Linked DNA regions of Caenorhabditis elegans. The protein of the gene in region 1 purifies or fractionates together with the protein of each later gene. This does not show direct contact. Each region holds a gene or a part of one and is shown on either strand. Other genes may lie near its edges. The genes, in order: math-48, ccdc-55 and snf-10.

Evidence for each region.
Region 2: the proteins of math-48 (region 1) and ccdc-55 fractionate together in Caenorhabditis elegans (co-fractionation; one large-scale study listed by BioGRID). This does not show direct contact.
Region 3: the proteins of math-48 (region 1) and snf-10 fractionate together in Caenorhabditis elegans (co-fractionation; one large-scale study listed by BioGRID). This does not show direct contact.

The regions. Positions count from the first base shown.
Region 1 is NC_003280.10:1,944,861-1,948,462, reverse strand, and holds math-48 (MATH domain-containing protein), read left to right. Parts: upstream 1-1,935; 5' UTR 1,936-1,945; coding exon 1,946-2,058; intron 2,059-2,111; coding exon 2,112-2,389; intron 2,390-2,441; coding exon 2,442-2,568; intron 2,569-2,617; coding exon 2,618-2,945; 3' UTR 2,946-3,025; downstream 3,026-3,602. Other genes in the region: ZK250.14 (MATH domain-containing protein), read left to right, coding at 3,295-3,407, 3,461-3,602.
Region 2 is NC_003281.10:4,166,394-4,170,474, reverse strand, and holds ccdc-55 (Nuclear speckle splicing regulatory protein 1 homolog), read left to right. Parts: upstream 1-1,709; coding exon 1,710-1,820; intron 1,821-2,007; coding exon 2,008-2,157; intron 2,158-2,506; coding exon 2,507-3,424; 3' UTR 3,425-3,527; downstream 3,528-4,081. Other genes in the region: E3 ubiquitin ligase rnf-121, read left to right, coding at 1-45, 89-225, 276-367, 426-577, 1,087-1,206, 1,266-1,386; E3 ubiquitin ligase rnf-5, read left to right, coding at 3,642-3,709. UniProt on the Caenorhabditis elegans protein: Required for the cessation of distal tip cell migration at the end of larval morphogenesis.
Region 3 is NC_003283.11:10,437,809-10,442,547, forward strand, and holds snf-10 (Transporter), read right to left. Parts: upstream 3,016-4,739; 5' UTR 2,988-3,015; coding exon 2,853-2,987; intron 2,806-2,852; coding exon 2,435-2,805; intron 2,387-2,434; coding exon 2,116-2,386; intron 2,070-2,115; coding exon 1,768-2,069; intron 1,721-1,767; coding exon 1,489-1,720; intron 1,443-1,488; coding exon 1,347-1,442; intron 1,304-1,346; coding exon 1,044-1,303; intron 953-1,043; coding exon 694-952; intron 654-693; coding exon 558-653; 3' UTR 522-557; downstream 1-521. Other genes in the region: set-22 (SET domain-containing protein), read left to right, coding at 10-112, 155-368, 417-509, 3,093-3,143; pap-1 (Poly(A) polymerase), read left to right, coding at 4,309-4,533.

The DNA.
Region 1 (3,602 bases):
ATACGGATCTTATCATGACAGGTGATGATCTAATAGCATACGACTAGATTTTCCCTAGGTCTGATTAGAAAATATTGCCCCCAGTTTTGAAGATTCACTCCGGAAAGTTCCTAAATTTCTGAGGTCCACATCAGAGATGGGCGGCTTTTATTACGCGTTTGTTTTATCTTCCTAGTAACGTTCAAAATGTAACTTTTTTGAACAAATTTTTTCTCTGAGTTTCAGATTTTACAAAGAGCGATCAGGTATTTTCATATTAATCACTGCAATAATCGGTTTTTTTTTTCGTATCGATTTTGAGACATTTTCACCCAATTGATTGACACTTCCTAGTGGGACGTTCTCACCTGTTACCCCATAGTGTGAAAACGTTCAGGTGAGAACCTTCAAAATAGTCATTTTGCAAGGTTCTCACCTAAACCTTTTCCCACTATTAACCGTGATCATCATCCCGGGAGTGCAAATCTGAAGAATCGATACCAAGCCATCCCATTCTATATCTCCCCATTCATTCTTCATTATTCTCCCAGCCATGTCTGCTCCGTCTTTCCCCATCCTCCGTCTTCCAGCGAAGGCCCTTCGTTCTACTCTTCAGAATTTTAAATTCGCGGATTTTTGAGTTTAACTTATATATTTTCTATGTTTACTAAAATAATAAATTACAGAATGAGTTTCTCCCTGATCTCTCCAACATCCGTAAAGCTTCTGAACATCGAAGCAGGAAATGTGTGCGTAGTTCTGGATCACCTTATGGGTATCATTGTTTGGTCTGCCAATGGATGCTGCAGGTTCTTATTCATTCCTCCTTCAGACGACGTTGAGGAGCACTTTACGAATTGGATATTGCTCAATGAAAGCTTTTCGATGAGACGTTGCGTTGAGAATTTGCTCGTCGCTCTGGATCTTCTGGAAATTGATATGTTGTTTGTTATGGATGAAGATGTGATCTATGACGAGCTGAAAGGAATCAAGTTGTGGAAGCTCGTGATGGGAGAGAACAACCCAACGATGTTCGATCTCTACTACCGTGACGCCATGAATATCAGCATTGCCGACAGAGCTCTCCTTGGTGAGCAGTTCAGGGCTCTAGTCTCCGAGAACTTGGATCGCCTGGAGTTTACTGCAGAATGTGTCATCGGACTTGACGATCTGCTCTCATGCAACGCTCAGGATCTTTAGATCTGAAAATCGAGCACCCATTCTCTTTATCTGATTTGAATCTGTTTCTCAGACATCTCATCAATGGGTCGAATCCTAGATTGGCAGAAGCTCATATTGCACTGGCAGAGGACAACCTTGAGAACTACAAAGAAGTTTTGCTGAAAGGTATCGAGTACCGGACGTCTCGCTCTTCCGATATCTACCAAGATGGATTTTTGATTAAAGACTTGGCACTTTGTCGCAACGATGGAGTTGAAGTATGGGCTTCCGTGGATCCAAGAAGCCAGAACTTCTACTTGTTTGCTGATCTGGATAAATCTCCATTTCGCCATAAGTGACGTTGTGCTTGCTCAAGAAATTAGTGAAAGTACACAACATTTTAGTCTTTTCTGTTAAAAAATTATATTTTACAACTTTTTGGTGTTTAATTTTTTCTATTGTATACTGGCTTGCTCCCTAGGTTTTATATTGCTAATATAATTTGTATCCCCATTTTTTTTCTCATCGATCGTAAATTGAATGAATGAACATTAGACGGAGAAAGTTATTGAAATTTTATCAGAAACCAAATCGATCAATTTTGCCATATCAATTTTGCCATTCTAGCGGTGAGGTGTCGGAAGCACGTCCTGAACAAGGAAGCTCCAAATAAAAACCCATCAACTTATTTATATAAATTAATTAAATACATAACGTGAAGTTTAAAAAAAACAACAAATGTGGACAACAACGTGGAAATAAAATCCACTTCGATTTTTCATCAATTTCAATTTCTCAAAGAAAAATGTCTACTTCCTTCAAAGAGTTTGCAATCAGCCAAACTATCCGGAACATCTCCAAATTTCTGAATGGAGAGCAATACTTCACTGATGTGGAAGAACGATTTAATATTCCATGGTTAGTTGATTTAAAGATTTAAAGATTCTTTGAATATAACTAACGTGTTACAGGAGAATGAGAATATGCAAGCTCAATGGTGATTTGGTATTTTATTTGCAATGTGACAAAGAAGAATGTGAAACCAGGAAGTTTTCTGTCGAAACAGAGTTCACGTTGAAGTTGGTGTCGCCTTATGGGAGAAGTTTGACCAGGAATAAGGTGCACACATTCAAAGAGCTGAAAATGGGAGGTTGGCACAAATTCATCAGTTGGGAGGAACTGGAAAATGACTATATGGTTGATGACAGTGTTATAATTGAAGCGTATGTCAAGATTATTAAAATTTCAAGTAAGTTGAAAAAAAGTTACTTTAGAGACCCAAACGATACTACTTATTCCAGATGTCCCGTGCATTGCTCCCAAGAATCTGAAAACATTTATGCTAAATCAAACTGTTAGAAATGTTTCCAACATTCGAGAAGGAAATAAATATCTTACTAACACTGAAGTTCGTTTTGGTATTCCATGGTTAGTCAATAAGAAGAGAGAACTCTACTTTAACAATCATATTTTTAAGGTGTCTCGTGATTAAAAGAAAGGATGGATTTTTCAAACTATTCTTACGATGCTATAAAAAAACGTCTAGAATCAATAATTGGTCCATTGGAGTTAAATACACGCTGAAATTGATGTCCGTGGATGGCCAGAGATTATTATACAACACAAAACACACTTATACAAATAATACGGATTGCGGCTGGGATAAGATAATCAGGTGGAAGGATATGGAGGAGAGATTTCTGGTGAACGACAGTATCATTATTGAAGTTTGCGCGAACATTGTGGAGATGACTGGATGTGAGGATGTAGATGATTTAAGCGAAGAGCTCTCTTTTATTATGTGATCACTATTGGAGGACACAATTACTCGGTGGAAATTCTCATGTGAATAAATTTTAATAAAATTAAAACTGTACCTTTCCAAGTCGCTCACAAATTCTGTAAATTGCTGCACTTTTTCATGACCAGTGTTTTATTCGAGAAAATTATTATTCATTTATTAGGCTTAAAAATTGATTATTCAAATATTAAATTAAATTCATACAAAGTAATCCATTTTATAATATGCACGGCATATTTCAACAAACGTGACGTTTCTAAAAAAAATCCAGCGTGTTTTAAAAAAACAACAAATGCTAGCGTGGAAAAAAAATCCACTTCGATTTTTCATCCATTTCAATTTTGCAAAGAAAAATGTCTACTTCTTGCAAAGAGTTTGCAATCAGCCAAACTGTCCGAAATATCTCCCAATTTCTGAATGGAGAACAATACTTCACTGATGTGGAAGAACGATTTAATATTCCATGGTTAGTTGATTTAAAGGTTTAAAGATTCTTTGAATATAATCAATGTATTACAGGAGAATTAGAATATGGAGGCACAATGGTTATCTGGTATTATATTTGCAATGTGACAAAGAACAATGTGAAACCAGAAAATTGACCGTCGAAACTGAGTTTACATTGAAGTTGGTATCACCTTATGGAACAAGTTTGGCAAGG
Region 2 (4,081 bases), on another chromosome or scaffold:
TTGGTTGAAAGCCTCGGCTCAACATATCAGTGGAGGAACACCAAGGTTTTTAAGAATAAAAAAGACGAATTAAACGAAATAATTTAAGATTCGTCTACAAATGGTTTCTATTTTTGCATAAACTGAGTTATGTACTCGGAGTTGTTGGATATTTGATCATGATGGGAGCTTTATTAGGATTTCATGTTTTATTCGGAGTTTCACAGCCAACACTAATGGATGCCGGTGAGAAATTTTGGAAAAATTTTGAAAAAATCTAATTTTCAAGCTTCCAGGCATCCTTTTCATGTTCTATGGTGTGTATTACGGAGTGCTCGGCCGGGATTTTGCTCACATTTGCACGGCGAGAATGGCGTCGAGAATCGGGGTAAAATACATTTTTCACCTGCTGCCGAAAAATAATCAATATAATTCCAATTTTTCAGTATTACACTCCTGAAGGACTTCCTAAAAAGCATCTAGAAGACGGTGTCTGTGCTGTTTGTGGAGGACGTCTTGATGATTCGGAACATGTTCATGATGCAGATGCTGTGGTTACAACGAAAATGGTTGAAGATGAAGATGAAAAATTGTATAAGTGAGTGGAGAAGTTCAGCAGATTTTTGGAATTTTCACTTTTTTTAATTAAAAAAAAGAATTAATAAGTAGTTTTCCAGTTTTCTTCGAGAATCACCAGAAAGCACCAAATTTTTAAAAACTGATATTATGAAGCTTTTGAACGAATTTTCATCGATTTTTCCACAGTTTTTCGTGAAATTTTTTATTTGATAATTAAAAATTCAAATATACGAATAAAAGTTACACAGAAAAATAAAATCAAGACCTCCGAGAAATTTTTTTTTGCGTTGGCACGGTGCCAGGTCCGGAAAACGTAGATCCGGAATTCCACCAGATCTTGAATCCGTGGTGCCTCAATAAATAAAATTTGATTAACATTTTTTTGTTGAAAAATTGACGAAAATCCGGTGCACCAGAAATTTAAAATTTACAGTACTCTTTAAAGGCGCGCACCCTTTTGCATTTAACAAAGTAAATCGACACATGAGGCTAGAAAGCTCTTGTTAAACTTAAAATCAATAATTTCAGACTCTCATGTGGCCACGTTTTTCACGAATTCTGTATCAGAGGATGGGTAGTTGTTGGAAAACTTCAAACATGCCCGTATTGCAAAGAACGTGTCGATTTACAGAGAATGTTTAAAAATCCGTTAGTTTTTTGAAAAAATCAAATTTAATTATAAATTCTTTAAAAATTTTCAATTTCAGATGGGAGAAACCTCATTTATTCTATGGAAAATTGCTTGACTGGATCCGTTATCTCGTCTGCTGGCAGCCATTGATTGTAACAGCTGTTCAAGGACTCACCACATGGATGGGATTGGAATAGGAATCTTTTTATTTTAATTTTTACTTATTTATTTTTATTTAATAATTTCTAACTGCATCCCAAAGTTATCAAATAGTCACAAATACACACAAAAATTGTCATTCCAATTGCATTTTTATTCTCGTTTTTTCATTTTTTCTCGTTACTTCTTTTTTGCCGGGCACCGGGTGATTTTTCTGATTTCTTTGAAAAAAAAATTACGACTTTATTTATTCTTCCTGTTTAATTTTTATTTCCAATTCCCGTTCACAGCGGTGTTTTATATCTGAAACTGTATCCTTTGGATTCTTTTAATTGGAAAAATAAAATAAAAAAGTTTTTAGATGGCATCAAAACGGCATGTAGGATTAAATATTCGGAAAAAAGATGAACCGAAAGCTGCTCCAATTCGAGTTTCCAGTGTTTTTGGAGACGATGATGATGATGATAATGTGGTAAAATTCAGAGAAGTTTGAAAAATTTAGTGTAGGAGAAAAAGTTTTCAAACAACAAAGAAATGACCGAAAATTATCAAAAATAATTTTTTCCTACTAGCAATTTTAAACATTTTTAGTTTTTGACTATTTTTCGATTTAGAAAAGCTTTTATAAATTTCTGAATTATAAATTTCTTACTTTTCAGCCAGCCACAGCTACCAATATGGCATCAGCTTCAGTTATTCGTGTGCAAAAAGCAGCAGAACGAGAACATCAAAAGGCAGAAGCCGAGGATCCGACGATTTTCGATTATGACGGGAATTACGATGAAATTCAGGCGATTAAGAATGAAAAAGTGAGGGCTCGAAAAGTTGAAAATCGAAAAAAAAAATACTAAAAATAAAACGAAAAAGTGTAGATTTTAAAACCATTAACAAAGAATTTTCGATAAGAAAATATGAAAAAAAAATTTTCAACAAATAAAACAATTTATATAATAAGTTTCCACTAACAATTTTGATATTTTTTTAAATCTAAAAAATGGACAAGAATAAACGAACATTTTCGATTTTTCGGGTTTTTAGAGAATCGAAAATTTTTCGTTAAAAAAGAAAAAAAAACACATCTTTAACCAAAAATGGTTTGTTTCAGAAGTTTCAGTATTTTTAGGCTGAAAAATTCAACTAACAGCTTTGTTTTTGCAGAAAGAAGAAGCTCGAAAAGCGGACAAAAATCGTGAATCGAAATACGCGGAGAACATCATTAAAGCCCATGCTCGTCGCCAACTCGAACAATTTTCTCGTGAAGAACGCCAACAACTCAGAGAACGAGAGAAAGAAGGCGATGAATTTGATGATAAAGAAGTTTTTGTAACTGGAGCATACCGTAAGCAACAGGAAGAAGTGAAGAAACATCGGGAACAAGAAGCTGAAGAAGCTGCTTTTAATGATATGACAAGTGTTCAGAAACAGAAATTATGGGAAATTGGTATGGGAAGGACGCTTTTAAACGATTTGGCAAGAGATCCTACAGCTATTAAACAGAGGAAGAAAGAGCAGAAAAATGTGAGAAAACGGGAAGATTCTGATGAAGAAATTGATCCGAAACCGGAAAAATCGGATAAGAAACCAGCCGAAAAGCTTAAAAAATCAATTTATTCCGATGATTCTGACGAGGAAAAAGCACCAAAACCTCCACAAAAAAATTTCGAAGGAGATCTTAAACCTGGCCTGAATACGGTATCAAAAAAAAAAGCAACGACTCACGCAGAGAGAATCCGTCAGCGAAACTACACTCCAACACCTCCATCTTCAGATGATGAAGGTGCAAGAGCTCCACGAGCTCGGAGAAGGACTTCAAGCCCGTCACCAACTTCAAGGAAGTCCATAGAATCGAGAGAATCAGGGAGTAGAAGATCGCCTGAAGGGAAATCTGAAAAATCTGAAAAAGCGCCGAAAATCTCGCTTAAAGATAAGCTGAAGCCGAAGAAAATCGATAAAGAAGCAAGATTAGACGGACTCAAAGAAATTCTGAAGCAGCGGAATACAGAAGAAGATATTGAGGCAGCGAGGCAAAGATATTTCGAGAGAAAGGAGCAAGGAATTGTTGTACCTCCATTGTAAAATTTAATTTTTATTTATTTTTTCTTTGTTTGTTTTTTTCAATTGCTGGTTAAAATTCCAATCTCCCAATTTTCCAATTCCAGACCTAATGAAATATCCAATTTCAATTTCCAATGTTCATTTTTTAAAAACTTCTATGGTTATCTCTACCATTTTTATATATTTTAATACGTGATTTCAGAGAGAATTAAATAAGGAATTTCAGAGTTCGGAGCCAATGGCGTCGGAGACGAAAGCTCCATCCGAGGAGCCCACGAGCTCCAGTAATAAAGATGAATCTGCGAGGTAAATTTAGAAAAAAATCGATGTTTTAATCGTTAGACATAACAAATGACCGGAAATTAAAAAAACGAATTTTTATTGATTAATTTTTTTTGAGAAATCTAAAATTACATATTTTCTGTTTTTTTTTTTTAATTATTTTTCCGAATAATTTCTCTATTTTTGCTGTAAATTTTCAAAAAACGGCAGTTTATCTAAATACTTTTACGACACTTTAAAACATCCGAAAAACTACGAATTAACCAGAAATGTTTTGATTTTAATGAGAACAGATTCAAAGATAACCGAAAATTATTTTTAAAAAAGGAGTTTTCCGGAAAATCAACAAGAAACCGAAATACGAGAAAAAAAATCCGACAGAAAATATTACAGTTA
Region 3 (4,739 bases), on another chromosome or scaffold:
TATTTTCAGATATAAAATCCAGAAAAAGAAAGAGAAATACTCGGGAATTTCAATCGAGAAGAAAGATTCGCGCCAATGAGGCAATGAATGGCGTCAACAAGCCCGTCTATCAGTTGAGGATATATTTATAGAAGTTAATAGTTTTAGGTTTCAGGCCGCATGCTTCATATTATTCAGACGATGAAGATATTCAAAAGAATACCGCATATGAAAAGTATGATATGTGCATCGATTTAGCTGATTCAACTGATGAACTGAAAGCTATTCGACGAAACTGTGAATCCAACTGCATGATTCGATACGTGATTCATAATCAAAGAATGCAATTATTTATATCTGCTCAGAGAAATATCCTAATGGGGGAAGAGGTGAGACCCTTCTTTGATTAAAAAATATATTATAAGACTCTGTTTCAGCTTACACTTCCACATGACTACGATTCGAATTACTCTAGCAAGGTCATTCAATGCGCTCATCCTTATCAACCACACAATGTTTGCATTCACGAGGTTAGTCAGAGAAAAAATATTTTTTTATAAAAGTAGAATAATTCATTATCAATATCTAACTCTGAGCTGTCTTTCAAATTTCACAGCATTTCGTCTGTCTTCCGGATTCATTGGTCCCCAGTCACCAGTTGCTCTTATCATCACCTAAATTATTCCATAAGTAGTTTTTAAGATATATTCTTACCACAAAAGGTTCCATATTTTTTCTTCGATCATACTCATCTCTCAAAAAGTATAAAATCACAAAGATGCATGGCATGACGAGAAGAGAATATCCTATTGGATCAGACACAATAGAATTTTCATTAAATGCTTTTTTTTGGCCGAATGTTGCAACGATACATCCAAAAGTTACAATGAGTAGAATAGGACTGATTACAAGCCAGTTAAGCCACCAGAAGACGTTAGGAGGTCCGTGTCCCCCAATCATTGCTCTTATGTTTCTGAAATAATTTTTTGGACTAAAAACTTTTTGTTTCAAATTATTGTGAATAGGTAAACTCTCTAAAAAAGATTCACATTTTTCGAACTTACACGGAAAATCTCTTGAATCCATACACATAAGATACCGTTATTACTTCAACAAAAGCAATAAATATAGTGCCATATGAAGCAAATGTTTCGATACTACTCATTAGATTAATTCCTCCGTTACCCAAAAATGGTAAACTAGAAATAAGACCTGTGACACTCATAATTGCTAAAATGATAGCTCTCTTATGCCAACTCGCAAGAGCTTTTCCATATTTTCGCCGACTTCCGTTTAATCTTTCCACAATCATAGAACTTATAACCTAAACTTAGATATTGTGGACGTTTTTGTGGCTTCATTTCTACCCAAATATAACTAGAAATTCCCTGGATTGAGCATGCTGCAAGTGTTAGCCAGAATAGAAACACCCAAATGCTTCCCATTGAAGAATTTGTTAATATCTAAATAACTTTTCTGATTATTATAGATTGAACTATTTTAATATACCTCGGAGATTACACTTTCAATCATTACCGGTGTAGCGTATAGTTGAATTCTTTCACTAGCTTCCAAGTCTGGGTAATATAATCTTCCTATTTCAGCCATGAACATGAACGAAAGTAATCCAGTGCATATGTAAAATACAAAAGAAACAATGCTAATAAGTAGAACATCTCGATGTATTTTGTTGTGAAAGTTGTTCAATGAGGCAAATTTCTGGATTCCGCCACATCCAACACTAGAAACAAATACTTTATTTTTCTGAAATTCATGATTCACACCTACTTCAATGCTCTAAGTGCATGTGCTGCAGCATCTGCCCATGACCACACCCACATCCATTTATCCTCGTAACCTTCACTTTGATAAAAGAATGCAGTAAATACGTTTGTAGTATCATTCAAAGACATTCCATACGAAAGAAGCATTATAGTTCCCACCAATAAAAGTGTAAGAGCTACGATACCGGTTCTACCAAGAACTTTTGATCCTCCAATGGAAATTATACCAATAATTATCCATAGACAAACTGCACATATAATAGATGTAACACTTGGCGGCTCCCAATCATTCATTGTTATGCTTCTCTGAAAGTTGCTTCGAAATGAATATCATACAGTCAAGTTATACAACCTTGTACATCAACCCATGAACAAAGCTCATAAATGGAGATTTTCTCTGTTGAAAACCACGGGTGGCAATTAACATTTCTTGATATTCATCACATTCTTTATCCGATCCCGGTTGAATCCATGTACATTTCGACGATAGCTTGTAATTGACACAGTAATCCCCAGATTGACTTTCCTGGCAGCTCTCCCATGGAGATGTTGACCAGATTGATTGGGAAGCATGTGTAAAAATAGTAAGATCGTAAATTGCCCAGACAGATAGACTGATTGTTCTGAATTGAGGATTTTGAAAAAATGAGAAGTTAGGTTCAGATAAATACCTGAAAACCATTATGAAGCACATTCCTGCAGATAATCCTGCCATGGCGGGAGCCATTCTTGAGAAAACTGATAGTGGAGAAGCAGAAGCATATTGTCCAAGAGCTGTTTCAAGATAAAGAAGTGGAACAGCGATGAATACATAACAAAATGTGAATTGATATGGAAACCATCCACCGTAATATCCACAGAGATACGGGAAAAACCAAATATTTCCAGAACATGTAACGAACGAAAGTGTGGCAGTGATAGCTTCCCATTTTGAAGTCCACGTGGGTCCTTCCATTTTTGTATCCAACCCAATATTCTCCAGAGCTAGATTTGTCACGCTTTTGAATCCAATGTTAGAGATGGCAGTAGCATTTGAAGTTTTCTGTAGAAAACAAAAAGATTTTTGATCAGAAAATGTATATATTTTACCTTTATTGGTATTATTTCCTCTGTAGTAGTGCTTCTATTATCATCATTTACTGTTTCGTTTGATGCTGATCTTGTAGTTTCTTCAGATTTTGTTCTAGTTTGTTTTAATTGTTTGAAATCTGAAGACGACGCCATTCACTGTTTTTATAAAACCAAAATAAACTCGTATCGAAATTGAAATTCAATTGCTCTAGTTTCTAAAAATTCACGTTTTCTAAATATTACTAAATATGATTTCAGAAGGAACGTCAAAACACTATCAAGAAGTTCATATCAATGAATTCCAAGTGACTGTTCTCAAATGTAATTTTATAATTTTTTATCACTAATTATTCTCATCTTTCAGACTCTGAAAGTATCTTCTGTTCTCGGAGTCAAATCGTATCTATAATTATCATGTTAATACAATCAGTTTGTTTCATATAATAATTGTTTTTAAAAACACAGTTTTCCACAGTACATCTTCAATAAAATCATAATATCATAATATCATTCTATTTATAATTTTGTTCATACTCTTTTTTATAAAGTTAATTTCATTGCTTCATTTGTAGACGCCCAAGACAATTTATTTAAATCTTCATCGTGGTTACGGTACCGTATACGGTTTTCAAGTTTTATGGCCGCGGCCTAGAATCCGACAACCGTGTACTCCTCCTAGACAATTGCAGAATATAATTTTATTGCTTAATTTTTATGGAATTTGGTTCTAGAACTATAATTACTTGATTCCTAATTCAAAATTTAAATTGAAAACTCCCATATAAGTGCATTGATTCTTGTGTATTGTTTTAATCAAAATTTTGAACACGTGATGCAAAAAGGGTATTCTTGGAACGTTTTCTACTTTTTTCTCATTGGAGAAATTTTCATTGTCTCTAACGAGCGTTTTGCATTTTCTCTATCCTCTTTCCATTCACTTTCATTTCTGAAAAAGGCTTCCATCTCGATGTCTTGACGACGAATTCGTCATGTGTGAGGCTGACTGCACCATCGATTGAAAGAGACCTTCCCTGTCGTTCTCTCGTTCCCCTAACTGTCTGATATCTCATGCTCATCTGTACTCTCTCGTCGCTCGGCATTCGTCTGTTTCTCTTTTTCTTTTCCTTCTATACCTCGTGGACCCTTTCAATATTTGGTGGTAAAAACGTGATAAAACTCACTGCTCTCTGAAATTATTTTTCATTCCCACGGATCTCGTTCATATCGAATAATTTTTCTATTTTTCATTTCTTCTCAGTTTTGCCTTCATTTTTCGTTGTTTTTCGAATTTCGAAATTTTAAAAATCTTTTCGTCTAAAAGGTTTTTTTTATTTTCAGCGCGATTTTATCGTGTTCAAATCGTTAGTAAGGATAATAAAGGAGGAATCCGAAATTTGGGTAATTGCATGTCTTGGTAAATATTTCAAATTGTACAGCAAACTCTTCAACATTAAGACTTTTCAGAATAATAACAATGTCGGCGACCGAAAAGGACAAAACTCCACTTTTGGGTGTTTCTCAACCCATTTCGCTAGCCCATCCAGATTCAAAAGACATTGCACAGACGACTTTATTGATAGAAACATTGAAAAAGTTTGGAAGCTATGAACCAAAAGAAGAAACAGAACAAAGAATGGAAGTACTTCGTAATTTGAATCGTCTAGTCAAAGAATGGGTTAAGAATGTAACTGCCATGAAGGTTCGTTTTTTGTTGAAATATTTAAATTTTAAAAGTATGATCTGAAATAGGTTTTTGTTTATACAATATTTATGAAAATCATCCAACGACTGGATATAATAATTGAAAATAATTAATGTTGGCTCATTGACAAAACTCAGTTTTCTAGAAGAAATTTCAAAAATACTTTTATTTTTACTGTTTAGTTGTGGAAAATTTTTAAAAAT